Regions from separate parts of the Mus musculus genome. Here all the other regions are reported to be linked to region 2. Evidence: microRNA targets listed by miRTarBase, many of them from high-throughput screens and not tested one by one. Region 2 holds a microRNA gene; each other region holds the end of a gene's coding sequence.

What was found. The annotated mature microRNA mmu-miR-1a-3p reads UGGAAUGUAAAGAAGUAUGUAU and lies in region 2 at 7,058-7,079, shown strand. An mRNA with a match to its seed (bases 2 to 7 or 8) in the 3' UTR can be bound and repressed. Matches are read on the target gene's strand: a 7mer-m8 pairs with bases 2 to 8, a 7mer-A1 pairs with bases 2 to 7 and ends in A, and an 8mer does both.
Region 1: miRTarBase lists Hspd1 as a target of mmu-miR-1a-3p. Seed matches in the 3' UTR shown: 7mer-m8 at 2,742-2,748.
Region 3: miRTarBase lists Myocd as a target of mmu-miR-1a-3p. Seed matches in the 3' UTR shown: 7mer-m8 at 4,582-4,588 and 7mer-A1 at 5,489-5,495.

The regions. Positions count from the first base shown.
Region 1 is chr1:55,070,827-55,080,798 of GRCm38, reverse strand. Hspd1 (heat shock protein 1 (chaperonin)) reads left to right here. Exons shown (of 12, transcript NM_010477.4): 9 at 452-697; 10 at 1,569-1,743; 11 at 2,092-2,270; 12 at 2,359-2,965. The coding sequence ends at 2,511. It overlaps Coq10b (coenzyme Q10B), which reads right to left. Exons shown (of 5, transcript NM_001039710.1): 5 at 8,097-9,163. The coding sequence ends at 8,996. Among named protein-coding and RNA genes, the nearest start is that of Hspd1, 12 kb to the left of the region's middle.
Region 2 is chr2:180,382,039-180,392,010 of GRCm38, forward strand. Mir1a-1 (microRNA 1a-1) reads left to right here and starts at 7,010; the gene lies at 7,010-7,086. It overlaps B230312C02Rik (RIKEN cDNA B230312C02 gene), which reads right to left and starts at 3,847. Exons shown (of 7, transcript NR_040745.1): 1 at 3,735-3,847; 2 at 1,240-1,341; 3 at 592-1,014; 4 at 69-228. It overlaps Mir1a-1hg (Mir1a-1 and Mir133a-2 host gene), which reads left to right and starts at 3,566. Exons shown (of 4, transcript NR_045331.1): 1 at 3,566-4,237; 2 at 5,496-5,666; 3 at 6,429-6,515.
Region 3 is chr11:65,172,109-65,182,080 of GRCm38, reverse strand. Myocd (myocardin) reads left to right here. Exons shown (of 13, transcript NM_146386.3): 12 at 1,139-1,196; 13 at 3,065-5,520. The coding sequence ends at 3,636. Among named protein-coding and RNA genes, the nearest start is that of Arhgap44, 14 kb to the right of the region's middle.

The DNA of each region.
Region 1 (9,972 bases), not on the chromosome of region 2:
TTGCTTGGTACACAGGTATTGGATTAAGGTCATGTTTCTAACTTGCTGAGCCTGGCGTGAGAATGGACATAGTTAAACATTCTTCTCAAAACTTTAAGTGATTTTGTTCTGGTATACCAGTGGTCTTGACATCTCAAAGAAAAACAGCATTTCTTTTTCTGGATATTTTAAGCTTTATGTATATGGATGTTTTGTCTGCCTGTTTGTATGGTGTATGCATACCAGAAGGCGTCCATCCAGTCCCATAGGACTGCAGTTTATAGACAGTTGCAAGCTGCCATGTTGCAACTTGAACTCAGGACACCTGGAAGAGCAGAATAGCCTTCCAGTGCTCTTGACTGCTGAGACATCTTGCTAGCCCTGAAAAGCTGTTTCTTCTTACAAAATATCTGTGACATATAGTAATAAGCCTGGTATAATGGAAGCCACTAATAGCACACTGCTTTTATAGGTGTTTGGAGAAGAGGGGTTGAATCTAAATCTTGAAGATGTTCAAGCTCATGACTTAGGAAAAGTTGGGGAGGTCATTGTCACCAAAGATGATGCCATGCTTTTGAAAGGAAAAGGTGACAAAGCTCACATTGAAAAACGTATTCAAGAAATCACTGAGCAGCTAGACATCACAACTAGTGAATATGAAAAAGAAAAGCTGAACGAGCGACTTGCTAAACTTTCAGATGGAGTAGCTGTGTTGAAGGTAAGACTGACTTGCCGGTAAACATTTTAGGCTGAGTATCGTGATACTGGTTCTGTGGTATTTACCAATAGTAACTAAATGAATATCTCCTTTCCCAGAATTTTTAGTTTGTTTTGTTTTTTGAGTGTGCATATGACCAAACTTTCCATAGAGTACATGTAGCAATCGGGGGCAACTACCAGCAGTTGGTCATCTACCTTTCCACTGTGATTCCAGGAATACTCAGGCCATTGGCTTGCAGGGCAAGCAAGACCTTTGGCCCATTTGGGTTATATCCCAATGCCTTCTGAGCCATAAATAGGCATCTATCCCCTACTGGTATTATGCATGAGTATGAAACCGTTCTTGTGCTGTGTTGTGCAGTCTACCCCTACCCAATTTCCCAGTCTCGCTCTTTTCTCTTTCCTTTTTCTCTGTGTAACCCTGACTGTCCTGGAACTCATTCTGTTCACTCTATAGACAGGATTTTCAGTCCTAGAACTCAATTAGTAGACCAGGCTATCCTTGAACTGAAAATCCATCTGCCTTTGCCTCCCAAGTGCTGGGATTTAAGGCATGTGCACTGCTGTTTGGCTAGTATCCTTTTCTCACACAGCAGTACAGCTTGTGTGGGGAGGTTCAGGATTTTGTCAGTGGGACACATTATAATATATATGTTATTCTAGAGTTGCTTCTTTTGTTGTTGCTTTTGTTTTGAACTCTGCTGTAGCCCTAGCTGGCCTCAGTTGGTGTAACCCACCTGCTTTAGCCTCTCAACTGCAGGGGTCATGACTTACATGATGCTGTACCCAGCTTATGTCTGCATTCTAGGTGGCTTTAGGTGGTCATTGAATGGGAAAGGTCATGCTAACTGGAATTTCTTAATCTCTAGGTTGGAGGAACAAGTGATGTTGAAGTGAATGAGAAAAAAGACAGAGTTACTGATGCTCTCAATGCTACAAGAGCAGCTGTTGAAGAAGGCATTGTTCTAGGAGGGGGCTGCGCTCTGCTTCGGTGCATCCCAGCCTTGGATTCATTAAAGCCTGCTAATGAAGACCAGAAAATAGGTAAAGATCATCTTTCAAATGAGTTTGTGGCCTCATTCTTATTGAAAAGTATTGTTGATTAGCAATGTAACACATTTTACAGGGGGAATTATTTCACCTATGGTAGGATTGGATAAGTCTTCTCATTTACTAAACTCTTGTTTTCTTTTTAATTATTTTGTGTGTGTTGGGGGGTGCATTTTGCCTTCATGTCTTGTGTGCTATGCATTTACAGTATTCTCTGGGCCAGAAGGGAGCATTAGGTAGCCTGGACCTGGAGTTACATTGGTGCTAAGGATTAAACTAAGTCCTCTGGCTCCCCAGAAAGAGAAGACAAAGCAAATTTGTAAAAATGTGTTTGTTTTATAGGTATAGAAATTATTAAAAGAGCACTTAAAATTCCTGCAATGACGATTGCTAAGAATGCAGGTGTTGAAGGATCTTTGATAGTTGAGAAAATTCTGCAGAGTTCCTCAGAAGTTGGTTATGACGCCATGCTTGGAGATTTTGTGAACATGGTGGAAAAAGGGATCATTGATCCAACAAAGGTAAGTGATTCAGCATTTCATACACACTGGATGTCTTGCTCTCTGCATGGTTTTTATTCATAAATTATTTTACTAAAATTTTTTCTAGGTTGTGAGAACTGCCTTACTGGATGCTGCTGGGGTGGCCTCCTTGCTAACTACAGCCGAAGCTGTAGTGACAGAAATTCCTAAAGAAGAGAAGGACCCTGGAATGGGTGCAATGGGTGGCATGGGAGGGGGTATGGGAGGCGGCATGTTCTAACTCCTAGAGTAGTGCTTTGCCCTTATCAATGAACTGTGACAGGAAGCTCAAGGCAGGTTCCTCACCAATAACTTCAGAGAAGTCACCTGGAGAAAATGACTGAAGAGAAGGCTGGCTGACCACTGTAATCATCAGTTACTGGTTTCCTTTGACGATATATAATGGTTTACTGCTGTCATTGTCCATGCCTACAGATAATTTATTTTGTATTTTTGAATAAAGACATTTGTACATTCCTGATGCTGGGTGCAAGAGCCATATACCAGTGTCCTGCTTTCAACTTAAATCACTGAGGCATCTCTACTGTTCTGTGAGCATCAGGACTGTAGCGCTGTGTCACCACATGAGAGTTCAGAAGCAGCCTTTCTGTGGAGGGTGGGAATGATTGTGTACAAAGTAGAGAAGTATCCAATTATGTGACAACCTTTGTGTAATAAAATTTTGTTTAAAGTTTCTGGTTGTGTTACCCTTTCCATGGTCTTGATGGGAGAAATGAAAGCCAATCAGAGGAGCACAGTTGGGTATATAGAAACAGTCCACCTATAGTCTGTAGTCTCTTGCTTTTCCTTGGAGATAGGATTATTGCTTCGTGAGGTTTTACAGAAGGCACAACACTGGTTAGCTTGACTGATTTGGAGAGTATCATAAGTGATCATAAAGGAGTTTAGTCTTTCCTTACCATTTTGAAGTTTATGCCATAGTAAAAAGACTTAATGAGCAACTTAACATTTTAACCAGTCTTCAGTACTTGAATTTTTAAGTGAGTCTAGAATTACCAGAGATCTAGCCAAGCAAATAAGCACTATGAGGTTTAATCCCCCAACCCTCACTTTACCCTCAAAGAGTGAAGATTATTCATTTCTTGGTGTAAAAGAAACAAGAGGGCCAGATAGCAGGATGCAGAGCACCAGAAATAGTCTGAAGTCAGTTGGCCATTCTGTGAAAGCAAAAGCTGGTTGTAATTCCACAAAGGGTTTATTTGAGTAAAGGATGGAAATTTCCAGAATAGAACAAATAAGCCAGAAATGAAAAGGGGGAGCAAACACTAGTTCTTTAGTTAGTTTAGCTGTGGAAATGTACTTGCATCTACTTCAAAAATGAGTAACCAAGAGGAAAGGAACCTTGATGTACACTGCTTTGTCTGAAAAAATGCAATGGAGTGTTTCCACTGGCAGAGACCCCAGGGAAATGTGAGTGGGTCCGAAACCCTTCCAAAGTAACTGCCTGGCCTGATCTCATAGCTGCAGGTAGTCTGGTCTAAGTCAACCTGGAAGTAACAGGAAGTGCTTAAGGGCATTTTGATTGGTTCCCGCCCCCACTCCTTGCTATCCTGGTGACTGTAGACCATGCTGTTTCCCAAATACTGGGATTGAATATGTGTGCCAGTATTGCCTAGCCTTAATTTTTTTTTTAAGATTTATTTATTATATGTAAGTACACTGTAGCTGTCTTCAGACACTCCAGAAGAGGGAGTCAGATCTCATTACGGATGGTTGTGAGCCACCATGTGGTTGCCGGGATTTGAACTCTGGACCTTCGGAAGAGCAGTGCTCTTACCCACTAAGCCATCTCACCAGCCCAGCTTTAATTTTTATTATTAAACTTTTAAAAGTTTATTTTTAGCTGGATATGGTGAGGTATGCCTTCCATCCCAGCACTGAGGAGGCAGATCTCTTGAGTTTGAAGTCAGTGAATCCCAGGACAGCCAGAGCTACAGAGAAATCAGTCTTGAAACCTTGCCTTGAACTGAGGTTGGACTCTCCCATGATGATGGTTAATATTAACATGAAATAAAAAAAAGCCAGTGGTGACACATGCCTTTAATCCTAGTACCCAGGGGGTAGTAGAAGCCAGATCTCTGAGTTTTGAGACCAGCTTGGTCTACAAATTGAGTTTCAGGACAGTCAGGGTTACACAGGGAAATCTTGTCTAGGAGAGAAAAATGAAAAAAAAAAAAAACAACAGAAAACCAACTTGAAGGGCATTACAACCAACTAGGAGACAAACCTCTCAGCATGCATTGTGGTCTTTTCTTGATTAGGTTATCAAAGAGAACCACCCACCCTGACATTGTAGAACCATCCCTGCGCTTGGGTCCTAGGCATTATCAAAAGGGGAAAGCCAGTTGACCTTGTGTTTTATCACTCTCAACGTCCTGATTGGATACAACTGTCTGAAACGCCTCATGATTTCACCTTACACTTCATCTCAAACTGGGAGCCAACTGCTTTTATCTAAGTCAATGGGAAACTATCTGCAATGCACAGAAAGGTATAGAAATTGCCCTACAGAGGCAGTCTTTCTTTCACTAAGCACAAGGTGAAATAGTAACTGGTGGGTTGAATAAAAGAATGGCCCCAAGATGAGCAGTCTCAACTAACCTGGACCTCTGAGATCTCAGACACTGAGCCACCAACCAGGCGGCATTCACAAGCTGGTCCCAGGTCCCCAACACATATACAGCAGAGGACTGCCTAGTCTGGCCTCAGTGAGAGAAGATGGGCCTAACCTTTGAGAAACTGGAGGCCCCAGAGAGTGGGGAGGTGGACTTGCAACTTAGTTTTAATTTATGATGACATTTTTTTTTTCCTTTTTGAGTGTCTTATATGTAGCCCTCGCTGGTTAGATCTTCCTCTCAAGTGCTGATTAGAATTCCTTTAACTCTATTGGCAGAATGGCATGCCCTGCACCCTCTGCTGCATAAATCAGGTGTGTGGTTCAGACCTATAATCCCAGCACTGAGGCAAGGGCAGGATGACCAGGAGTTCAAGGTCATCCTAAAATACATAGTGAGTTCAGGGTTATATATAGATATAACCTGGAAAACATAAAAACTTGATTTAGATTCACTTTATATTTACTGAATGCTTATCACACATCAGCAGCCCTCACACATTAGGTAATGAAGGCATTTCCAAGGCACAGACTCCTAAAAAGAAAAGTGAATTAATTAAGAATTAAGAACAGTTCGCAGTGCAGGAAGACTGGGACAAGATGTGTGTACATGACACACTGGTCTTTCCAGGATTCCTCTGCCTTTTTTCTTTTTGGGACAATTTTACACATGGGAATCTTCTATACAAGTTGTTCTGGGTTGTTTGTTTGTTTGTTTTGATGACCCAAAGTTTAAGGTTGCTTGTATGAGCATGACTTGAGGAGTTTTTATTTTTATTTTTTACTGGATCATGAGTAATGTACCAGTGAGTACACAGTGAAAAAAATGACACCCTCTCCCTCCCTCCTCAGCAAGCATTAACTGCCAATAGTCTGTTAGGAATAGTCTGTTAGGAAGGGGTTGGCGCTCAGGAGCCCCTCCCCCATCCATCCGTGATGGAATGTGGATTTCCTCCACCTTGTACAGCTATGAGTTCCTGAGTGCAGAGGCCATGTCTTGTCCAGATGTTCCTCCAGCACTCTTATCTCCTAGTTCATAGTCTTTCTACTCTTTCACACAAAATGTCCCCTGAGCCCTTAGAGGGTAATGTAGAGGTCTCACTTAGCATAAAACACTTGAGCCACTCTCAGAAGTCTAACATATAAATCTCTGTATTAACTACCACTCATGGCACAAAGAAGATACTCTGACGAAAAGTGGCACAAATCCACAAGTAAACATAACTCCGTAGAAGGCAATTTGACAGCAGCCTATTTAGCAAATTAGAGTAGGATAGAGTATCAGGATTATGCTCCTACCCTGCGCTCCCAGGGCAAGGAGATGGCTCAAAGGATAAAGTGCTGGCTGTACATGCATGAGGACCAGTATTTTTTGGATCTCTGGCATCCATGTAAAAAGTCAGACAGAGATGGCAACATCTGGAATCCCAGCACTTGAGAGGCAGAGACAGATATCCCTGGGCATCCCATATAGCTCCACTAGCCAGAATCAGTGGGCTCCGGGTTCAGCAAGAGACTGCTACAATTTTATCGAAAGGACCCAGATGTAGCTGTCTCTTGTGAGACTATGCCGGGGCCTAGCAAACACAGAAGTGGATGCTCACAGTCAGCTAATGGATGGATCACAGGGCTCCCAATGGAGGAGCTAGAGAAAGAACCCAAGGAGCTAAAGGGATCTGCAACCCTATAGGTGGAACAACATTATGAACTAACCAGTACCCCGGAGCTCTTGACTCTAGCTGCATATGTATCAAAAGATGGCCTAGTCGGCCATCATTGGAAAGAGAGGCCCATTGGACACGCAAACTTTATATGCCCCAGTACAGGGGAACGCCAGGGCCAAAAAGGGGGAGTGGGTGTGTAGGGGAGTGGGGGTGGGTGGGTATGGAGGACTTTTGGTATAGCATTGGAAATGTAAATGAGCTAAATACCTAATAAAAAATGGAAAAAAAAAAAGAGACTGCTACAATAGCATGAAGAGCCATCAAGGAAGACACCCAGGGTCAACAACAGACCACCATATGCACACATGGTAGCTCAAATTTAGTGTTAGCATTTGGGAAGCTGACCAAGAGCCTCAGTAATGAGAGCATCTCCCGTGCCACATCGTGAGTTCCAGGCCAGCCTGGGTTAATGACATCCCATTAACACTAGATCAAATACCAAAGCTCAAATCAAATGCAAGGGACACAATTATACACAGGTCACTTTGCTCTGGCCGTGTGTGCCTTACCTACAAGTGGGAGATCCTGTTTCACTTGTTAAAAGCACAACTCAAGTCCATGTGAGCAGACCAGTGTGAGCTCCTCAAAACCACACAGCCAGTGCCTGGGAGGGAGTGACTGAGCAGAGACTAGAGCAAATTCCCACAAGCACCAATTATAGCTGAAAGCACTGTGGCTGGAAGTTTAGTATGCAGAGGTGATTTGGTTGCAGAGTGAAAGGAAGGGAGAGAATACTGAGTAAAGAATGTGTTCAGTTCAGATTTCTCTGTCTCTATGGAAGGTTTTCCCCTTGTTCTGGCAGTGCTGAGGATCAAATTGGGGATGAATATTGCATCCAGGAAAGTATTTGTAAGACATGATATTCTATAGTATTGCACTTTTATTGTTTCGGTTGCTGAAGCTGTCAATGCCACACATACCTAGTCACCTGTCACCTAGTCACCTGGGATGGGGTAGTATTAGTCAGAAACTTGCTGTCATCTGACTGACCTGGGGTGTGTCTGCGAGACATCCTGACAAGCTACTGTGGCCTATGCCATGCCTGAGCAGGTGGGTCTGCAGTGTAAAAGAAACTAACTGAACACCAGACAGGGAACAAGCCAGAAGGCCCATTCTCCTAGTCTCTGCTTTAGCTCCTGCCCTGGCTTCCCTCTGTGATAAGTGGTGAACTGAAAGCTGAAATAAACATACTCCTCACAAGTGCTTTTGCTCATTAGTAACAGGGAAGCACACTAGACCATCCGTCCAAATAGACATGAAAACTATACAGAAAAGATTAAAATAACAGCCAGTGGTGGTGATAGCAGCTATGCTTTCATCCCAGCAGAGAGGCAGAGGCAGGAGGATCTCTGTGAGTTAGAGGCCAGCCTGGTCTACAGAGTGAGTTCCAGGGCAGCCAGGGATATTACACAGAAAGACCTTATCATGAAAACCAAATAAAAAACAAAAAGATTTAAATAACCAAGGTCACTATACAAAAATAAACAATTTAACTTTATTAAGTCATGACTTCAGCCTTTCTACTGATTTGTGGTTTTTAAAAAAAAATCAGTTCAGAATATTATTGAAAGTGAATATGCACAATAAATAGAAAATGCCTTGTGTGGTGCTGGAGACAAATTAACTACTTACTTATCTGTTGCCTACAGTGGCAGATAAAATTTTGACACACAATCAGCACAAAGCACCTGGAAGGAAGTTTCAAATGTCTAGAAAAGTAGCTCAGAGCTCTGGACCACTCACCAAATAAAACAAAAAACAAAAAACAAAAGACCAGAACAAAAACCCCACTCAGTACATCTGGGAAACAACTTCCCAACAACACTGAATCATCTACTGCTACCCATAAGAACAATTAAAATACCCAAAGTGCTAAGACTTCATTAGCAATACTTTAAATCACAGTTTTAATGGTAAATATATGATTATTCAAATACCCTAAGCCATATGGCATGCCGAATAACAATAAGTTACAAATACTCTGAACCTAATAACTTAAACATGATATGGTTAATATAACACACATTGTATCTCAGCTAACCTTTTCATGTAAGGTGAGAATTAAAAGACTTGTTCATCTGTACACTCAAACGAGGAATGTGGTATCCTAGCAACAGTGATGACATCCGTTATTACAAAGGTGGTCGGAGCCTGCAAATGTACATGATACTTAGAGTCACACTTGATTGAAGAAATAATTCTATGTACAAGTGGGTCCATGTTCAATGTGCAAATTTTCAACAGCACGGGCTTAGAATCAAGGCAGGTTTAACAAATGCTTTCTGACTTCTCAACAGATGGTAAAAGGACTTCCTAGAAGTGAACAAACTAGCCAAGAGTAGGTGGAGGCAGCTAATATTTTCCTCTTAGGTGTGGTGAATTTCATGAAGCATTAATTCCCGAGGTATGTTTGTCTCTGGACCATACAGTTTACAGGCTCTTCTTTCAAAGGCTGCTACCATTTGTTTCACAACTTCATCGAAGAACAGAGTAGCGAGCTGAGAGTGCAGAAGGGAGCGGAATTCAAAAGAAATCTGTAGGAAAATGTTAAAAATTGTTTTACACATTTGCGAGGCACATCTATAATCCTAGCACCCGTGGAGGCTGGGGCATGAGTACTGGGGATTCACCACTAGCCTAGTATACACAGTGACTTCCAGGACAGCCTGAGCTGAAAACATAAACAAGGGCCGAGCAGAGCTGCCCATGGTGCCTCAGGCCTCGAGGTCCAGTTACTTGGAGATCCAAGTTCAAGGCCTGCCTGGGCTAGAGTTTAAACATCTGGTGATGTAGCTTAGTGGTAGAGCGCCTGTGCAACACACACACAAACCCTGGGTCTAAGGAGCAGTAGGAAAGTGTTATTGCCTATGCATGCACATGCATGTCACCCACAAACCAGGCAGCCAAAGAGTTACAGCTTTACATACCCATTGTTGTTCTGGACAGAATTCAAGGCACTTATTTTAAACAGTAGTATTGTAGCCTAACATCCTCTGGATATTAAAATACTTTAACTTTCTCTGATGGACTGACTGCAATGCTGACATCAAACTACAGCTTCCAGTGAGCCACACTCTGAGTACTACCCTGTATTTTTTTTTTCTTTCTTTCTTGCTCTTGATATTGGGACTTTTCACACACTGGGCAAGCTCTCAACTTTTTTATTTTGAGATAGGGTCTCACTAAGTTGTCTAGGCTAGGTTCAAAGTCACTGAGTGCAGGCACTGAACTCCTTCTTGCTTTAACTTCCCCAGTAGTTGGGATTACAGGCCTACACCATGAGGAATGGCTTCTAGCTTTTCATTGTTAAATAATTTTGTTTGTTTGTTTGTTTGAGACAGGG
Region 2 (9,972 bases):
TATCCATCAAGTCAGTTCTTTTCCTTGACAGGTGTCCTCCCAGGCCCAGGGACCTTCTCCAAACATACCTTTCTACCTGGCTCCCTTGGGACTCAGCATGGTGCACGCTGGGTATTGCTGGTGAGGGCCCAAGAACATATGGAAGTTGATTCTACCATGTGTGCAGGCCACGAGGAGTCTCAGGGTGGGTCCTTGTGGACCTCTGACTCTGCTCACTGGGACGGTTTCCTGGAAAGTCACAAGACAGAGTGTACTGCTACTTCTGTTACACAGGGCCATACATTTAGTCCTTGAACGCTCAATTATTTTCTTATAGGCTAGAAGTACAGCCTAATGTCGGGAGACTCCCTCTGTAGACTATAGGAAAGTCCATGCCTGTTCATTTTCAGCTTCTAGATCATTCAACCTTCCGCTCCTGATCCCTTCCTCCATCTAAAGTCAGTAGCACCCCCAAATCTCTAGCTGCCCTCCCCCTGTAGGGATCCCGTGTCTGGGATGATCAGGATCCCCACCCAGAATTCCTTAAATTAACCCCTTCTGCCATGCAAAGTGCTGTGGGTGGTTATTTTTCTCATTAGTGTGATTACATACCTGGGGAGGAGTAATTTAAGGAAGGGCATCTGTTGGCTTACAGTTTGAGGATGCCGTCCATCACAGTGAGGGTTAACGGTGGCAGAAGCTCGAGGTGCGCTGCGTCTGAGTTCAGGACGCAGAGGGGGATGGGTAGTGCTTTCCAGCTTACTCTTTCCTTCTTATTCAGCACACTGGACTCAAGCCCACAGGATGCTGTGGCCCATAGTGTGGGTCTTTCTATCTCAGTTAAGTCTCCTCAGAAACACCCTGGCAGACGTGTTCAGATGTGTGTTTCCACCATGATTCTAAATCCTAGCAGGCTGATAAGGAAGATTGACTCTCACACAAAGAGACATGGTGGAAGGTTCTGGAGTATTCTTGAGAAGGCAGGGACCAACAATCTTCTGTCCATTTCACAGCAAGTTCCAGCTCTAGACAGGACTGAGTAGGGGAAGTGGGGTTTACTTACAGCATCTTGGAGAATGGTCCCAAGGGAGCTATAGCTAGGCCCTTGAAGATCCAGGTACCCATGTCCAGGTCTGAGCCCAGGAATGGGGGTCAGTGGGGAGAGAGGGTGGACTAGGCCTTCAGCTAGGTTTGTCTATTTTTCAGTGGAGGAGAAATTCCTGTAAGATAAAGGCACCAGGCTGGGAGTGGCATGCATACCTGTAATCCTAGCACTCCAGAGGTCCAGACAGGAGGGTTAGAAGTTTGAGGTCATCCCCAGCTACGTGGCAAGTTTGCTGGTAACTCGGGTTACATGAGACCCTGTCTCAAAACAAAGATAAAAGGAACCGTTTTTGAAGAGAACATCCTTGCATAGTATCTACGGTACCCAATATTGTGCATCAGTCATTCCTATCTCCCTCTGGATCATCTCATCACCTCCAGGAGACCCACTTCTCATGAGTCATCCCCTCCTCTCCCACTCCTGAATCTTTCTACTCTGGGAGTTTCACATCGAGCACACTCAGCGTGTGGCCCCTGGTGTTGACTCCACATCATAGTTTCAAGAGTCATGGCATGTAGCAGTGCTTTAGATTTTATCACCAGATAATATTCCATCCTGTCAATGTGCCGTGCATGGTTCCCTGGTCACTAGTGGGTAGCATCTGGGTTGTGCTGTTTATACCACAGATGCCACTGCAGGGGCCTCTCAGACATGTGCCTAGGGGAGCAGTTGCCCAGGCTTAGTAAGATCTCACTGTTGAAGGAGCTGCTTGCATTTTGCAGTGGCATCATTGGCATGGACTGCTCAGGGTGGGAGTGAAGATAAACAGTTGGATGGGAGAAGTGTCTCCTCTGTCCTGTTTCCTGGGGGAAGAAATAAGAGGCACACACCACTCTTGAGAGCTTTGTGTTTGTGGGTACAAGGACAAGCTGGCTTTAAGGAATTCACTTGCTAAGCCCCAATGCCAGTGGGCTTGTGGGGAGAACTATTGGTTAGAACCCATGACAAGGGTGCTCTAACTCCTGCTCCTGGGTGGAGGACAGGACTGGCTTGTCCAGGCTTTGTGGCTGGCCCCTGCTGAGGTATAAAATGCATGAAACTCCTGTCCCTGAGAACTCACTGGGTGGAGCAGAGGATCTTGGTTGGCTTTGCTTCATTGTGGGTAACTAAAGAGTCCCCAGATATAGGTAAGTCTCTGTATGAACCCCACACACCAGTGGGAAAATGTCTCTGTATGTTTGTCTGAGCTGACCCATAGTGATTGCAAGACTCATCCAATCTCAAGTTGAACACCCCACGATTCTAGCTAAAACCTCCAGCTCCACCATGCCCTGTCCTTGCTATGTAGCTCCTGATGGCTTGATATTCACCGTAGCCCAGGCTTGCTTCATACTCCCCAACTCCACCACCTGAATGTTGGGGTTATGAGCTTGTGCTTCCATGCCTAACCACACATAATCACAATATCCAGGGGACCTAGGGTAGCATGGTAGCCCCAGCTGAGCTTCTCCTTGCTCCTGTGAGGACAGATTAGCCAGTACAGAGAGGACACTTCTCTGAGTACAGGAGGAAGGAGGTTTTCTAGTGGATTCTAAAACAGCAGCAAGTCTTTGGATGCCCATGCACTGCACAGGGACACTCATGCCTTCTGAGGAGCTTGAAGCTTCCACCCATAGTCCCAGAGTCGTCTCAATGGCCTGTACTTGACAGTAGCAGGGTGGTAGAGACTCGCTCAATGTCACTTTGCTCAAAGGGGATAGTTGGCCAATCCCAGGCTGCTGGACTCAGGAATCCCAGCCCAGTGGGGCCATGTTCCCAAGCCGTGTTTCTTATACAACCCAGGTGGGAACAAAATGGAGCCATCGCCAAGTGTACTTGTGGATATGGGGGTCTCCAAGCCACACACCCTTGATGCCAAGGTTCTGGAGGAGACAGGACAACTGAGTTGGCCTTCTCTGTTGCCCAAGGTGACCTGCAATTCTCATGACCTGGGGTTGGCTTAGGATCCCCAGGAAAACCAGTGGCTCTGTTGCCACCTGACCCAACCCCACTTCTGAGCAAAAAGGTATCACTCTGGAGACACTGAGGCCCTGGCCCACATGGGCCTTTAGGGGACTAAGGCCAGGGAGCCACCCATCTCCCTCCCTGGGCCCTGTTCCCTGGAGTAACTCCAGTCTCCCCAGGGCACTCAGGAATGAGTTGGTGTCGCCTCAGAGAGAGGCCAGTGCCCACTGGGTAGGAGGCACCTCTGTACTGGGCCTTGCTAAAAATAGCAGGGGGATTCGGACAGGGACAGCCGGTAGCAGGCTCGTAAGGGAGGGGCTGGGAGGGGGACGGGGCAACCCAGGACCGCTGTCAATGGTGCCGGGGCTCCCACCCTGTTCCCTGCTGCCTGGCCAGCCTCGGCCCAGCTGACATGCTATTTTTTCCCCTGCTTGACTAAATATGGTCAGGGCGCACAGCCCGAGGGGGGCCACTTGGCCGGGCCGCGTGTTTGGGATGTTTGGCGGGGTATATAAGAACTACCAAGGTGAGGTCGCTCCTGATCCAAGGGCCCCTTGCCCCACCAGCGTTGGGTCAGGCCATCCCGTCTCTGCCCTCCCCTCCCCCTGCATGCATGAATCTTGGTCTGTGGGGCTGCGTGCGTGTGTGAGCGTGCATACCCGCGGGGCCTTTCTCTTTTTCCCTTTTGTTCTGCTCTGACCTCTACCTGGTACCGACAGGGCTGAGGGTGCAGGAGCTTCCTGCAGCTTCGGCCGGGCAAGGTGTGCAGCTGGGCTCTGTCTCCTTAACTCTGCATCAGCGCTCTCTCTCTCTCTCTCTCTCTCTCTCTCTCTCTCTCTCTCTCTCTCTCTCTCTCTCTCTCTCTCTCTCTTACCCTCCCCTCCCCTTTCTCTCCCCCCCTTCCTCCTTCTCTCTCAAGATTTCCCTGCTGCTAAGTCTGCGCTGCTGCAGGAGGGCTGGGGGAAGGGCAGGGGTGCGGAGTCGGGGTGTCTTCTTTCTCTCTCTCTCTCTGCCCCCCCCTCCCCACCAAGTGCGGACGCAATGGGAGCTCCGGCCCGCCCCCACCCCTGCATTTGCGATTGGCTCCGGGAGGAGGTGGCTACCGCTGCTGCCGCTGCTGCAGCATCTCCCGGGGAGCCGCGACCCTGCGCCCGCCGCCACGGCTGCCGCGGTCACCAGCCCAGCCCGAGGGGCGCCCAGGGCTCCCTGGTGAGTCCCTCTCAGCTGGCTGCTTCAGCTGCCCACCAGCTAGGAAAGCCCCTGAAAACTTATCGGCAGTGGTGGGGGTGTGCCCTCCGGTGAGGTGGGTGCTGTGGGTGCTGGTGCCGCGTGGCTTCAAGGGGGCGCCTGGAGTTTCTCCCAGCATCATCTACATTTGGAAAACTGCAGAGCCAGCAGCCAGCAGGGCTGGGAGGGTTGGGAGGGCGCGTCCAACCGGGATGCAGAACTTTGACATACGGCTTTTTGCAAGAAAGCAGCGCCCCTGGATGCTTGGTGGAGGGCAGGGTGGATGGCGTCCGCTGTTCTAGGGGGTTGGCACGGGAGCTGAGGAAATAGATTAACCAGTTGAGGGCAACACCAGAGATTGTGGCTAAACTTACCTTGGAACTTGCCACAAAGCCTTTGAGTGCTTGCGGGTGGGGGATTTCTGAGGAGCGCTGACAAGGCCGTCCATGGGCTGGGACTCTGGATTTCTGAAGCTCTCCCAGCCCTGCCAGGATCAGAAGTGTGCTGTGTCAGGCATCCAGGGGCTGGAGCTGGGGCTGGGGCTAGGGCTGAACTAGTGTTCATAGTGTGTGTGTGTGAGGGGGGGGGGGGCTCAGGATAAGGCCCCACCCCAGATGCCAGAGGGGTCTACTTGGAGGTGACTGACACCACTTTCCTGTCAAGGTGGGAAACTTTTTGAGAAGTGACTCTCATTCATTCCTGAATGAGCAGCTCCTGAAGATGTGGGCTCAGACTGAATCAATCTCTGCTCTTCAGGTCCCCCCAACTTTCTGTTTGACATACAGACGCTATCATGAACACCTGGGAGTTGGGACAGAGGGCAGAGAGGCATTTGTTCTTAGAGTTCTCAGGGAGCCTAAGTGGGAGCTCAGTCACACCAGGGGTACCTCCAGAAGCTGGAAGCTGAGGCTGATGGACTGGCTGCCCTTTTTATCCTTGGCTATGTGGAAATGAAATTTTAACAGCAACCACATGGGAAATGGGCACAGTTTCTGTCCCTCGCTCATTCCTGCTGCACAAGCTTCTCTCAGTATCCTAATCCTCTTTCCACCCTGCCTAGCTACAGCTGCCACAACCAGGGGACCTCTACATGCTGCAGGCTCTGCAGAGACAGGGCCCTCCCAGGAATGGGAGAGTCTGGATGCTCTCTGGGGTGTTTCCACACAGGGACAGGGCTGGTCAGGTCATGCCAGAGACAGACATTGTCCTGCTGACACGGAAGAACTGAATGTTCTTTCAGGAGCTGGGACTGCCCTGCAGCCCCACACCAGGTCCAAGCCCAGCCAGACCCTCTGTGCCTGCACCACCTCTCCTGCAGTGGGTGTCTCCAGCTCTTTCTGTAGGTAGCCGCCTGCAGGGACACCTGTTCCAGGGTTCCAGCACTTTACCTGCAGGCTCACCTTGGGTGATGGTGAGTCCCCAGGCATGTGAGTCTCTTCCTCCTTTTCTCCCTCCTCCTCTTCCTCCCCCCCCCTCCAGACCACTGCTTTCTTCTTCCCCTTCTTTCTCTCAGTCTGAGGATAGCCTCCCTTTTGCTGCTGAGGCTCTGACCTGGAAGTCCTGCCCATCTTTCTGTTTTTCACATTCCTTTCTTCCTCACTCTGGGTGTAGAAGTTGGTAGGGCAGAAGGGAGCCTCCACTTCACTTGCGGCGAGATCTCAAAAATCAAGAGGAGAGACAAAATATAACTAAGTTTCCCAAGCATTTCCCTTGAACTTTTTTTTTTTCAAATTAGCCTATAGTTTTTTTTTTTTGTTGTTTTTTTTTTTTCAGAAGTTGGTACAGCAAACAGGCGGACAGCCCCTTTGTGTAGCTACAAACTACTATTGATCAGGGACTGATGGATCAGGAACTAGGTGAGGGACAGGGCCCTTCAGAAATAGCCTCCAGATTTCCATGGGAGCGGTTCCTTACGACCATCTTACATGGTTATGCTGCATAGCAGGGGATGGCGTTGGAGACTGTAGGTCACCAGGAGGACAGAGGGTACAGAAGCGAGAAGAGGGAAGGGGACCAAAGAAGGAGGTAGCTGGAATAGAAACTCCCTCATTGGCTTGGCATCAACTCTCAGGCCAGACTGAGCCCCAAAGAGCTGGCCAAGGAGTAGGTCACCTCTTAGTAGCCCCTAGACACTGTGAATTCAAGATCACTATCTTTCTTCTTCACTTCAAAGAAAGAGGCACTGAGACCTTCTCTCGGGGACTCTCATTTTGGGAAACAATTCATCAGGGTCCTGCCAGGGGAGCCATCGCCTGTCCAGGTAAGCCCTTTGATTCATTTCTGGAGACTCACAAAACTGCTTGTTTTCATCTGTCCTCAGGGAGCTGGGCTGTTCAAGTCCCCAGGAAAAGGATGTGACTGGTTCTTAGTCTGGGGTACGGGTCCCTGATGGCTCGTGGGTGGAGCTGCTCCTGAATTCTGTCTCCTTACCCCACCCTCACTGTCCTTGGTGGTGACAAGGTGGGCAGGAAGGAGAGAGAAGATGTTAGTAGAGTTGGATGCTATTTCTTAGAGTCTGGGATGTGACTTCCCTCTGTTGGGAAGAATGGGAAAGAACTCATTCCGTTGAGGGAGGTGTAAGCAACGGTGGGGATGAAAAGGGTTTTGAGACTTTTCAGCACGCCCTGTCTGCTTCCAGTCTTTACCAAGTGTGCATGTGTGAGAGAGACTGAGACACAGGCGACACCAAAAGGGGGCCAGCTTGTGGAGGGCCACTTCCTCGGAGTCCTGTTCTTGTGCACACTGAACCTACCTGCTTGGGACACATACTTCTTTATATGCCCATATGAACCTGCTAAGCTATGGAATGTAAAGAAGTATGTATTTCAGGCTAGGAACTCTCTCGCCAGACTGAGGGGTGGCCCATGCCCTGTGGGTGGCTGCTCGGGAAAGGCAATGGACCGATGGACCGGCAGGGCCTCGGGAGGCCGACTGTAAGGGTACCGGCTGTGTCCCTGTCCCTGTTGGCATTGTTCTGCCACTTTGCCTGTGTCAGCAGGTGGAAGTGCTCGTCAGACATTAAATATTCAGTGTGCTGACTGCGGCAGAGGGAGGAGGCCCTCTGGCAGGCCTGGGGTCCCGAGCGGGGCCAGCAGGGTTGGGGGTCTGGAAGCTTGGCTTGGGAATGGAGTTGTACTGATCCTTGCTGTGCTCTGAAGGAGGCCTCTCCAGCAGAAAGGGTGTGGGGACCGGGCAGGGACTGCTCAGACCACTGGGAGAGGCAGCAAGTTCTAAAAGGTGGTGCTTGGTGGTGGTGGTGGTGGTGGTGGTGGTGGTGGTGGTGGTGGGGCATGAAGGGAGGGGAGAGACTTTGGTAGTCACGTGGTAAAGGCTTTTGAGGGATGAGTCTCCTGCTGGCCTCTGGCTCACAGGGCCTGGTGGGGAGGGGAGGTGGAGAGCCCTGCGCAGACACTGCTGCCCACTGTGTGCTGATTGTATCTGCTCACTGACAATCTCAGTGTCAGCTCTACTCATGGCTATCCTGGCCACCCATGGTGATTCAGATAAAGGGAGCCCAGGGTCTGAAGCTGTCCCAGTCTGGATGGAGGAGTTGGCTCTGGGGACCTGGGTACAGCAGCTCATCCAGGGACCCCGGGGGGGGGGTGGGGGGAATAGGTTATTTCGTTCGGCCGACCCTGGGCCCATTCCTTCCCTGGCTGCCCCCATCAGAGCCTCAGCATCATTCCTTCACACTCTCTCACCAAATTCAACCTGAAGCCACCTTCTTCCTGGGAAGGCTAGCCAAGTTTCTGCTGAGCAGTCCACTAGCGACCTAGGACCCCTGTTCTGCCTGCTTTGCTGACAGCTGGTCTGGCCGGGAGAAGGGGCCGGGTTGACAACCTTTGGGTCCCAGGAAAGGAGGGCAGGGTCTTCCAAGCCCTTCCCACAGAGCTTGTCCTGCCCAGGTAGATGCAGGGTAAAGGGCTCTGGGTCCAGCAGAAAGCTGTCTATCTGTGACTAACATCTGCCTGGCTTCAGTTCTGGGTCTTAGAGTAGCGGCTGCCTGTGATCTAGCTGCAGTCAGCACCCCTCCCCCCCAAAGCATCTCCTCCACAGGCCTGGGGGCTCTTTGTCACATGCATGTGAGAGTGTAAGTGTGGGTATAGCTGTCAGTTGTCCCCGTCGGCTGTGTGTGGCAGGTACCCCCTTGTGTTCGGCACCATGACCTTTGGTAGGAACAGGATTGGGAGCAGGGCAGGACCCCTCTGTCAGCTTTAAATGTTGGGGCTTGAGCAGTCAGATGATCCAAGCAGCTAGGTTGAGGAACCTCAGACCAAATGCCATGGAGGAATCTGAGCCCACAGGTGGCTTCCATCCTGAGTTTTCTTGAGGTGACTCCATAGTCAAGGGTTTGTCCTGAATGTTTCAGTCTTCCTTCTGGAAGTCGAATTCTCTCCTGATCTCAGTCTCCAGGCACAGAGGGTGCGACAGGCACCGAGAAAGCAGCCTTGCCCTTGGTACTACCTCCCTCTTGGTCACTGGTCCCAGAGCTGTCAGTGCTCCATGACCCCGGAAGGTCATCTATGCCCTACTCAATTCCAGCTCCGGCCACAGGGAGGTAAACAGCCGGTGTGCGGCCACTGAAGCTGCCAGCGGCCACGGGCACGCCACTGTCTTCCGCTAGATATGTCTGTCATACATTAAAGCTTTATTGCAGGATGTGGTGTTTAAATAAAAGCCTTAGTGTTTTGGAATTAGGTTTGACGGAGCAGTAAAACTGGAGAGTTTGCAGGGAGCGAGCCTCAGCCTCCTTGGTTATAAATCACCTTGGTGCTCTCTGCCCGCTGAGTTAAAACGAGTACCCCTGGACACCCCTCCCCTCCTCTTCTCCCCTTCCGTACATGTCTACTCCCATCCCCAAGGTGTGTGAGGACCTGTTTCTGGTGATACCTGAGAAGGTGTGTGGTTGTGATGTCTGCTGTATGGGTTTTCACAGGACTCCAAACCATTATGCTATGTGGTTGGCCAAGTCAGTCTTCTATGGTGTCTTAGAATTTTCACATGAAGGAGAGGTGAGGCAGGCTGGGTTGGGACAGGGATCCCCACATAGGCTTTCCTAGTCTGGGTACCACCCAGACATGTAGCCAAAGGATTCTAAGAGGTAAAGGAGCCCAGATAAGGCCCCTGGGGAGCAAAGAGGACATGTCACCACCTGGAACAGGTTGGGGACTCAGAAGCCGTGAGAAGGCATGTGCTCCCTTTATTGAGTTCACTGGAATAGGGAGGCACTGATTGGTGCTCTTCGACTTCCAGATGTGCATGTACAGGAGTCACAGGTCCTGCAGTCTGGCGGGGGAGCAATAGGGTCAAGCATCATGGTAGCAAGCTTATTGTTCCATACTATGGTTTATACCTGATACTTAGGACTGGGCAGTCTGCAGATTGGATTAAGCCACATGAGTGTCTAAGTGAGAGATTATGTGTGCATGTGTAGTTATCAATTATCTTCTTCCTCCTTGTCCTCCTTGTCCTCCTCCTCCTCCTCTTCTCCTCCACCTCCTCCTCTTCTTTTCTTCTTCTTCTTTTTCTTCTTCTTCTTCTTTTATTCTTCTTCTTCTTTTTCTTCCTCTTCCTCTTCCTCCTCCTCTTCCTCCTCCTCTTCCTCCTCCTCTTCCTCCTCCTCTTCCTCCTCCTCCTCTTCCACTTCTTCTTCTTCTTCTTCTTCTTCTTCTTCTTCTTCTTCTTCTTCTTCTTCTTCTTCTTCTTCTTCTTCTTCT
Region 3 (9,972 bases), not on the chromosome of region 2:
ATTACTAAATCATTTTAGAGAGTAGACAAGCACCTGAAGATTTTGGAACTCAAGGGTGAGGGCTCTTGGACATAAGCCCCTAAAGATATTGAAAGATGAGTAGTTCAAGCAGTTTGAGCTTACATATGATATCAAACAACCTTAGCTATGTACCCAACTCAGAAAAGAGCATCTGTGTCAGGTGCTGCCTCATATCTGGTCTCCTGAAATCAAAACCAAGGCAATAAGGTCTCCTTTGGTATAAAAAGATGCCATTCCATGTAGGCTTTCTCACTTCTGAAAAGCTCAGGAGATGTTGACTATGCTTGACAGTTCAGATGAGTAGAGGTGAGGGCAGACTCACAGATTTTGCAAGAGGAACCAAGAATATTGAAGCCCACTTCCTGGGCCACATCCATAGCAGCCAAACAGAGGTAGACACGGGTTGCTTCCAAAGTGAGAAAGGGTTCTATGGTGTGTATCAAGATGCCTGGTCCTGGGATGGAGACTTCCAGACACCTGACCTGAATCATGAGCCGAGAATCACTGTTTTGTTCTTCTCACTCTCATTTGATGGGTTGGGTTATCTAGCTTAGTGGATTGACTGTGTGCAATTTAATCAAACACAGATTGAGTCAACACAGACAAAGTCCTTTAGCCAGTCTAACTAATCTCATAGCAATATTATCCACTTCAGCCAGAAGTAGAAACATCCCAAGTGTCCAACAGGTAAATGAAAATCCAAATGTGGTAGATTCACACACTTGAATACCATTTGCTCCAAGACCAAGAAGAGTCAAATTCATAGAGGCATGAACGAGAATAGTGACCGCTGGTGTTGGCAGAAGGGTGTTGAAGGGTACTGTTTAATGGGTGTAGAGTTTTAGTTTCTCATATTAAAAGAGCTCTGTGGATACATAGTGTTGACGATTGTGTTAACAGGTGAACATATACTTTAAAAGAGTAAGTTTACAGGGTTTTATGTTATGCTCAATTTTACTCTGCTGTGTTGAATCCTTAGGCAAGCATAATTCTGTTTCTAGGGCCTTAAGCAAGTGTTTTGAATCTTTAAGCAAGCAGTGCTGTTTCTAGTGTCTCCACCCAGAAGTAAGCATTGCCTTCTAACCTCTCTGCTCTCTTTTTGGCTAATTTGCAATAGCAAATGACTCGGAGTCAGCAGATGGACGAACTCCTGGATGTCCTCATTGAAAGTGGAGGTGAGCGATTGCCTTGCCTATTGTCCACACCCATGCATGCTCTAGAACATGGCCTCTATGACCTAGGTCAGGAGCACACTGAGTCAGGTACACCAGGTGGTCTGCTAGTAGCACCAGGTCCTCTGGGCTTCAGGTGTGCTTTGTTAGCAGAGGAGAGAAACACAGTGGATGCTTCCTTGCCACCTTTATCCTGAGGATGCTCTGCATGTTTCCTTTCAACCCATTCCTGCCTCCCCGAAAGTGTGCTCTGTTGCTACATCATTTTTCTGCTGTTCTAATTCCACAAAAAGAAAAGGAAACAAGAAGATAGTGAAAGGATTTTGCCCGTTACTCAAACTCAATCAGCCATCTCTCCCGCTGGGTACTCCATTCACGCTTAAATGTTCCTCAACTTAGAAATAAAAGCGACCAGTGTGTTCTTAAACCCAGTCATTTATTCATTTAAGAAACATTACGGAATGTGTGCCTCGTATGTGAATCCGAGGGAGCATGTGTGAAGGTCAAATGGGAACCCGGGGCTGAACCCTTAATCAACAGCATTTGAAGTTTAACATAGATGGAATGCCAGGCATCATGTGGAGCTCAGTTCTCCACCGGATAACTCCTCATTTCTCTGGAGTGTAGTGTGTTCATCAAGACAGACAGTGACCGAGAGAACGGGAGTTTCTTACCTTAACATAAAAGAGGGTAAAAGGGAGGGGTTCAGGTGCAGGTGTGTATTTAAATTTTGTCATGGAAGATGACTGTTCATACCTGATGCTCCTCCCCCTTTTCTGCTGAGAATGTGGCAAGGATGCCGAATAGTGAGGACACAGAAGGGACTGTGGGGGAGTTTAGGAAAGAAGAGCCATGAGTTAGTCATGAATGAGTTGAGTTTTCTAGAGAAATGCAAGTTTGTAAGGTAGAATTAAATGCAATTAGACCAATTAAATGCAATTGGGGCAGGCTAAGATAAAGTAGATGGGAGCTTATCAGGGTGGAGAGTGTTGTTAATCTAGAAGGAAAGGGCAAACGGTAGAAATAACTTCAACAGCAGATCAGAGAATATGATCCAGAGCAAGAAAGAAGTGATTCGGGAGATACTGAGATGCAATGATCAATCAACATCCAGTGGGTGAGATGTCTAAGAATACATTAGAAATAATTGCCCTGGAAATACTCCATACATGAGCTAGAGAGGGGAAAGGGGAAGGACAGAGAATGGGGCATTCTGCTTATGACAGAGCTCTTAAAAGGATGTGCTATGCAAAGACAAGGCTCACAGTATACCACAGAGCAGGGATGCTGGCATCACTGGAGGAGATGGGAAGGACAAGGAACTGAGAAGCCAGCATGAGTAATGTGTGATTTTTAAGGATGCTATGGTCTTAAAGAAGTAAGAAACAGTGGCCTGGCAGAGTGGCTGTGAGCTGGGGGACTGTTTCCAGAAGCAGCGGAAGTGTGATCAGCAGGCCTAAAGTAGGGGGACAGGCTGTCCTAAAAAAACACCAAGGAGTGATGAGAAGGGTGTATCAATAGTAAAATAGTTGTGAGATGACACTCATCCTTCATTTACTGCCCAACAGAGAGTATACCAGAGATACAAGGTCCTCCAATGACAGCTAGTGGAAGGGAATGGAGCCAAGAAGCCAGCTGAGAAGAGTTTGAAAATAACAAAGTAGAGGTCCCAAGGCATGGGGTATTTTGGGAAACCTTAGGAAAGGAAATGGAGAGAAAGAGCAAGTAGGGGCAAGCCCAGGGCTAAGTGCTGAGCAGGGACATATGGTCATCTTCTCTGCTTTCCTTCGAGCAACTCATTTATTCCAAAGACCCATCATGTAGGGTCAGTTTCAGGTGACTTCACAATTCATGCTGTGCTTTGCCAACAGAAATGCCAGCCGATGCCAGGGAAGATCATTCATGTCTTCAGAAAATTCCAAAGATCCCTGGGTCCTCCTGCAGCCCAACTGCCATCCCCCCGAAGCCCTCGGCTTCCTTTGAGCAGGCATCTTCGGGAGGCCAGATGGCCTTCGATCACTACGCCAACGACAGTGACGAACACCTGGAAGTCTTATTGAATTCTCACAGCCCCATCGGAAAGGTGAGCGATGTTACCCTCCTCAAAATCGGAAGCGAGGAGCCTCCTTTTGACAGCATCATGGATGGCTTCCCAGGGAAGGCTGCGGAAGATCTCTTCAGTGCTCACGAGCTCTTGCCTGGGCCCCTCTCCCCGATGCATGCACAGTTGTCACCTCCTTCTGTGGACAGCAGTGGTCTGCAGCTGAGCTTCACGGAATCTCCTTGGGAAACAATGGAATGGCTGGACCTCACTCCACCTAGTTCCACGCCAGGCTTCAGCAACCTTACCTCCAGTGGGCCCAGCATTTTCAACATCGATTTTCTGGATGTTACAGATCTTAATCTGAATTCCCCTATGGATCTCCACTTACAGCAGTGGTAAACACCCGAGGTACAAGAGCTACGAGAGCTCAGTGGGAATTCAATGGAGGAAAGCACGATACCGGAAATGTGTGTTCCAAAAGATGAAGTGGGGAAAATGGGGAGGGAAAAAAAAAAACAGCAACGGAGGTTTTTGTGACAACTAACCAGAACAAACAGAAGTCAGCTATTAAAATATGTCTAAATGTAATATCTACCAGCATTCAGTAACTGTTAATAACTTCAGTGATGCATTCAAAAATGTGCTTTGTCAGAATAAGAATGCCAAAAATGTTTTTTCGCTGCCTTATCTCATACCAGTTTTTTTGGGGTTTTTTTTGTTTGTTTGTTTTTTGGTTTTTTTTTTTTTTGTGTTGTTATTTGGTTTTCTTTTTGCCCACAGTTTGTCTCAGGCAATACTGGGACATAGACTGACCCCATTAGCTTTTGTTATGAATTTACTAAACTTTCTGTGGAAGGAGAACAGAGCCTCTGCCGCGGGTGTGGGGAAGCCATCCTGTGCTTGAGGCAGCACACGTGTGTCCATCATCATCAGTCAGAAGAGCAGGGCCTGTCTCACCCAATCGAGTCCTTAAGACAGAATAATCAGAATGGTCAGAGGGACAGACCAATCAATTCCCAGGAAAGCAAAAGTGACTCAATGTCCCTTGACTCCCAAATGGTCCCACTGGACTGGTGATCACTGGTGACAACTAACTAGCTTTGTCCAGAGAATCCACCCAGAACACGGTGCTTTTTAGCCAGTAGTCCACCTCTATGTGCATCAGCAATGCATAGCAGGTGAGAACTTGAATCACAGAAACTTCATGCCATGGATGGAGACTCCTGAGGCGCTCAAATACTACTACCTCTAGTTCCAAAGACTAGAGCTAGATGATCAGAAAGGCAACTGGAGGCCCAGGGAGCCGTACTGGGACAAGTTAGAATTAGAGAACGATGTCATTTAACATTCCGAGAAAGAAATAACCATGAATTGCTATTACAGGAGTAACACACAGGGCCAGCTTCTTTTTCTTCTTTTTTATTTTTCTTTTCTTATTGTGAGCAGAGGGAATTCACCTCAGTTCATCTTTCTCTCAGTACTTTTCTTTCAAGATATCAATCCTTTATGACTCTTTTGCTTTTAATTCTCTCTCTCTCTCTCTCTCTCTCTCTTTCTCTCAAAGGAGAGGTTTCAGTTCTAACAAGCTACCATACTCCTATTAAAGCCATTTTTTTTTTTAGAATATTAAAAGTCCAAACTCTCTTGCCAAACTCTTTCTTCACATGCGCATTGGCTGAAAACAGAATTTACAAGAATTTCTTTAGGAAGAAACTGGGGATGTGGCCCATTGGTCACAAAGTTTTTTTGTTTGTTTTTGTTTTTGTTTCAATTCTTGTTTGATTTATGGACAATCTTTGGTTTGTATTGCTCTGGAGAAATTGGAAATCATTGCAGAGTGAAGATAAATCAGGGCACCATGTATAGTAGAGAATATTTCAGTAGTTTTCCAAACGAGAACACAATTGCACACTGTAAACAACAGGAGTGTGAAGGACCACAGTCTTGAGGAGTTCTTGTTGCCCTGCGTTTGGTGAAGGCGTTGGGGACCGAGGAAGACAACATACAGTTTGGCCAAGGCTCTCAGAGGCTTGCTGTGGCGCCAATTCAAGTATTACAATGTTGCATGCTGTAGAAAGTAGCTGTTGCTGTTGTTTTGTTTTGTTTTAATTTAAGTCACCAAGGCACTGTTTTATTCTTTTGTAAAAAAAAAAAAAAGTTCACTGTGCACTTATAGAGAAAATAATCAACAATGTTGTGAATTTTTGAGAAGACTTTTTTTTTTTTTTTGATAAACCAAAGATTTAGAAATCATTCCATTGTCAACTTGTAAAAAAAAAAAAATGTTTGAACACTGAGTGTTTTTGGTGACTGCTACTCTGGAAGCCACCAGATCTTCTGGTAGGGAAGGAAACACAGATGTGTACACACATGTAGTTCTATACATGTGCCTATGGAGTATGTCTATACACACATACACATATGTATGCAACTATGTGTGTGTGCACATATCTGAAAGGTGGCATTCAGAGGGCCTCCGACCCTCAGTCCGCTGTGAATGATGCGGAGCCTTTTGTCACTACGAGTTGCTGATTGATCAACCAGACTCCATGTTGCCTCTCTGTATATGACTTAGGACGCCAACTCAATGCTCACAGCCACGTGCTGCAGGGGAACAAGCTCCTCCTGACAATGAGTATGGATTTGAGAGGACAAAGCCCGGCAGTGAGTTTGGATGTGATGGGATAGAGTGGCTTCACCATCCTGTGGCTGCCAAGGCTAGGGCCTTCTCTTACAGAAGAGTCTAAAGGGAGTATGAACTTTGTTCTGACATTCCTTGATCTGCGTTGTGCTTGAAAGGCTCTGCGTGATACACTTTCCCTCGTGTTTGTATGCAATCAGAACCACAGATCCAGAGATAAAGCTTAGCATGAAGATGAAGCTGGGGGAGGAACCTTATTGCCACATTCCAAACACTGGTTTGACCTCCGACGCTGATGTTGCATTTGAGTCTGGATGAAGCTTCCTGCTCTGTACATTTTTCTTTAGGCTTTGGCTGAACCATGTATGTTATCCCCTTCTTGCTTCTTTGGAAAACAAATCCACACAGTGTCTTGCCTCTGAGACCTTCTCTGAGTGCTGATAATTTTCCCTTTGGGTATCCCTGTCTGAGAGATTGGTTAGACAGCTCTGTTTTTTAGTTAGACTGTGGGGAACTTTTTAAAATAGTATCCAAACTGACACACACACTTCACACTAGACGAAAGGGAAGATGGCTCTGGTTTGCTAGTGCAAGCCAGTACAGCTAGAATGGGCCCCTGGATACTTGGCCTCAGCTTGCTCCTGCAATCTCCCCAGGCCATGTGCATATACCCTGTCTTCACAGCACAGGTAGCAGATTGGAGTAGCTGTGAGAAGATTGATGAAGACCGATCAAATACGTGCCTTCAGCTGTCTCCTATTGTGGCTTTTAAGTTCCTTTTATTAATCAGTCAAGTCCTCTTGTGGTGGCAATGTGACAAGCTAAGAGGTGTGCAGAGATGGTCACCCTTGGGTTTAGCAATGTTTCTAGAGCCTCAAGTGACCACATAGTTAGGAGGTCTGTAATATCCCCATGGTAAGCTCAGTTTTGGCAGCCATTCCTACTGTAGCTACAGGACAACAGGTCCTTCTAGATCTAAAGGAGCTCAGATTCTCCCCATGCAAGTTCTTCCAGTAAACTAGGGTTCAGTAATTATGCCTGTGTCCTAAATGTTATCAAGACAATGGGGTTGAGGGGGAAAAGTGAAGAAGAAAGGAGACAGAGGAAGAGGAGGGAGGGAAGAGGAGGGAGTAAGCAGATGGGAGAGGAGGAGAAGGAGGGGACAGAGGAAGGAAAGAAGCAAGGAAGGAAGAGAGAGGGAATGAAGGAGAGAGAGAAGGAGAAAGGAAGGAGGCAGGGAAGCAAAGGAAGGAGAAAAGAAAATCATGACCCAACTTCTTGACCCATGAAACTCTTGGTTCAGCTATGACGCCATAGTACAAAAAGTAAAAGACAAGAGTGGAAGACAGCACCCATTCTGAGCAATGGAGTGATTCCCTCTGCAATCAGGAGCCTCAACACATCTTCTAGTGGAAGAGTCCTATAGACCTGCAGCCTGTGCCTTTCACAAACATTAGCTGGGGACAAGAACAATTAAAATCTACCCCAAGCTTTTAAAACAATTCTTCTCCAAAGCTATCTATTTTATGTTCAATCAGCTTTCCTAGAGCTAATAAGGCCGAAAACTCCCTCGTGACCCGTACTACCCAGGGCGTGGCCATTTGGTGAGCGCCACAGAGCACACAAAACCTTCAGGGGTTGATTCAGCATGGGTGTTGAACATCTGAGGGATTGCAGCTCCTCTAAGCAAGAATGCTGAGACCCTCTGAGACTCTCTCAGCTCTTTGCACTCAAATTGTCTTAGCAGTGATAAAGGGCTCTTGATTTTTCCAGAAACTGGAGTTTTTGGTTTTGCTTTTTTTTTTTTTTTTCTTTTCATGAAAAGCTACTAGCACACAAGCTTGTCTCTTCTTCCAGGGTCACAGGACAGTAGTGTAGGTTCAGAGGCAGATGCTTCTGAGACTTCCCTAGACAGAGACGTCAACAGACATGGAAGAGACAGTCCCATTGTGCTGAGAACACGGTCATGTGGGTCCAGAGGCCCTCGCTAGGAGAGGAGACTCTGTCAGGAAATGGGTTCAAGACAGGAAGGAATTTGAGAAGACCTTTGTTGCTGCCTGGCAGGGATATTGTTCTAGGATTCACTGGATTCGATGAGCACGAACGAGCTCCCTTCTGATCATAAGGAATCAATGGTCCCCCCACAAGTAACCCCCTGCAGGGCTCTGGGTCCCATGATGGGCATCAGGAGGCCACACTTCCCCTGGATGGTTTAGATGGCCTCACGTGCAAAGGTGCACAGCAAGGGGACCCAGAAACACTCTTTTAAATGTTTTCCAAAGGAGCAAACCCCACACTGCTCCAAGGGCTCTGTTCCAATGACCTTGTCAAAAGGTCCAAGGGCAAAGGGCTTCTGAGAGAGCAACTCTCACTGGAACACGAAGCAGTGTTCTGGGAAGAACAGGGAAACAAGCATGGTTCTCTCAGCCTCTGCGTGGTGGTGTTTTCATATTGGTCTCCTTTGCTCAGTATAGTCTGAGAGAAATGTGGCTCACTGGGAGAGCAAAGGAGCAATGGCTAAAATACCAAAGTTGGCATGTGTCTTTTTTTAAAAAAATGCATATATTTTTAAATAAAATGTTTATTTTAACGAGATGTAAACAGTTTTCTCCTTAACCAGATAATATGCCTGGGTGTGATGTTCTTTATACATGTCACTTCCTGTTCTCCTTTCGGCAGCTGGAGAAGGGGTTACCGCTGTGATCCCCATCTTGCAGATGAAGAAACTGAGGCTGAGAGAGGCTGAGTAAATTGTCAAGGGTGACATAACTTATAAACTAGCAGAGCCCAGTGTCAGACTTTGACTTACCCACCTCCAAAGCCGCTGCCTGTGCACACAATGAGCACTTTGTGATACAGACACACAAACTGCACTGACATCCCTATTGAAATACACACAAGCACATACAGGTGTGCTTCCTTTTCCAGCTTCTGTATCCATCAGTCTGGCAACAGTTCCAACTGAAGAATGCACGGAGTAAACTGGGGATCAAGGTGGCCTGTTAGACGTACACAGCATCCCTAAGGTATAGATTTTTATGTCTGCTTCTCACACTCAAGGATATTTCCATCTGTCCCCCCGCCACCCCCATTGGAGAATGTGTGATCCCACGGAGGAGCTGTGGGGCTAATGGATGACCTTTGAACCAGACAGAGGTCCCCAAACCTGGTTTAGATGAGAACTGCTTTTTCTCTGTGGGGTGGCTCTGCCTTCTCTCACATTGTTCTTCGCGTACATTGGGGGCTGTTGTACAACTCATGCATAATTACAAGGTCATGGTTAACATCAGTAAAATGTAACAATTCCGACACAAGTGAATTCACTCCTAAGGGTCTCAGCAGAAATCTCACTGTTGGCTGTCAGTGACTGAGCTTCTCAGAGGTCTGGAGAAGCGTGCATAGGTTCAGTCTCAAGTCTTAGATCCCCCAAGCTAAAAAGTAGGGTCATTTGAACCTCATGGATTAAGAGAGGAGGGTGGAATCCTTACAGACTTTGTATTGACTCTTTGTGAATTTCCCATTCATGCCCCTCAGTGTCACTCATCTCCCTGACCCTCTGTATCCACCCTGCCCCTGCAGCTCCCCTCCCCCAAACAAAACAAACAAACAAACAAACAAACAAAAAACCCATCTCACTGGAAGTTGCAGTGTGTCATACAACAGAGTCTATTGACTAAACATCTTTACTCACAAATATTCATTGCAATGAGTCGTTGGTCTGGTTCAAGGCCTCTGGCTTCTGCTACACAATCAATACTTAATCCTCACTGGGATATCCTCTTAGATACCCTGTTGTTGCCCTGTGTCATGGAGATACTGAAGCTGGGGTTCTGCAGGTCCAGCCCCTTCATGTGCTCCAGCAGTTCACAGATCGGGTAGATGTTGGGGTGGGCCAACTCAAAGCCCTGGATCTGGGCCTGGGTGGTAGCTGACTTGTTTAGCCCATCAGCTCTCCTGTGCCCACATCACCAGGGCCAGCTTGTCTTCTAATGCATTGTATGCACAGCGTCAAATCCACAATTTCCAACTCTTTGGGGGTTCTTTAGTTCAAAAGCCATGTGTTGTGTATCCAAGATTCCGGTCCTGCTCAATGT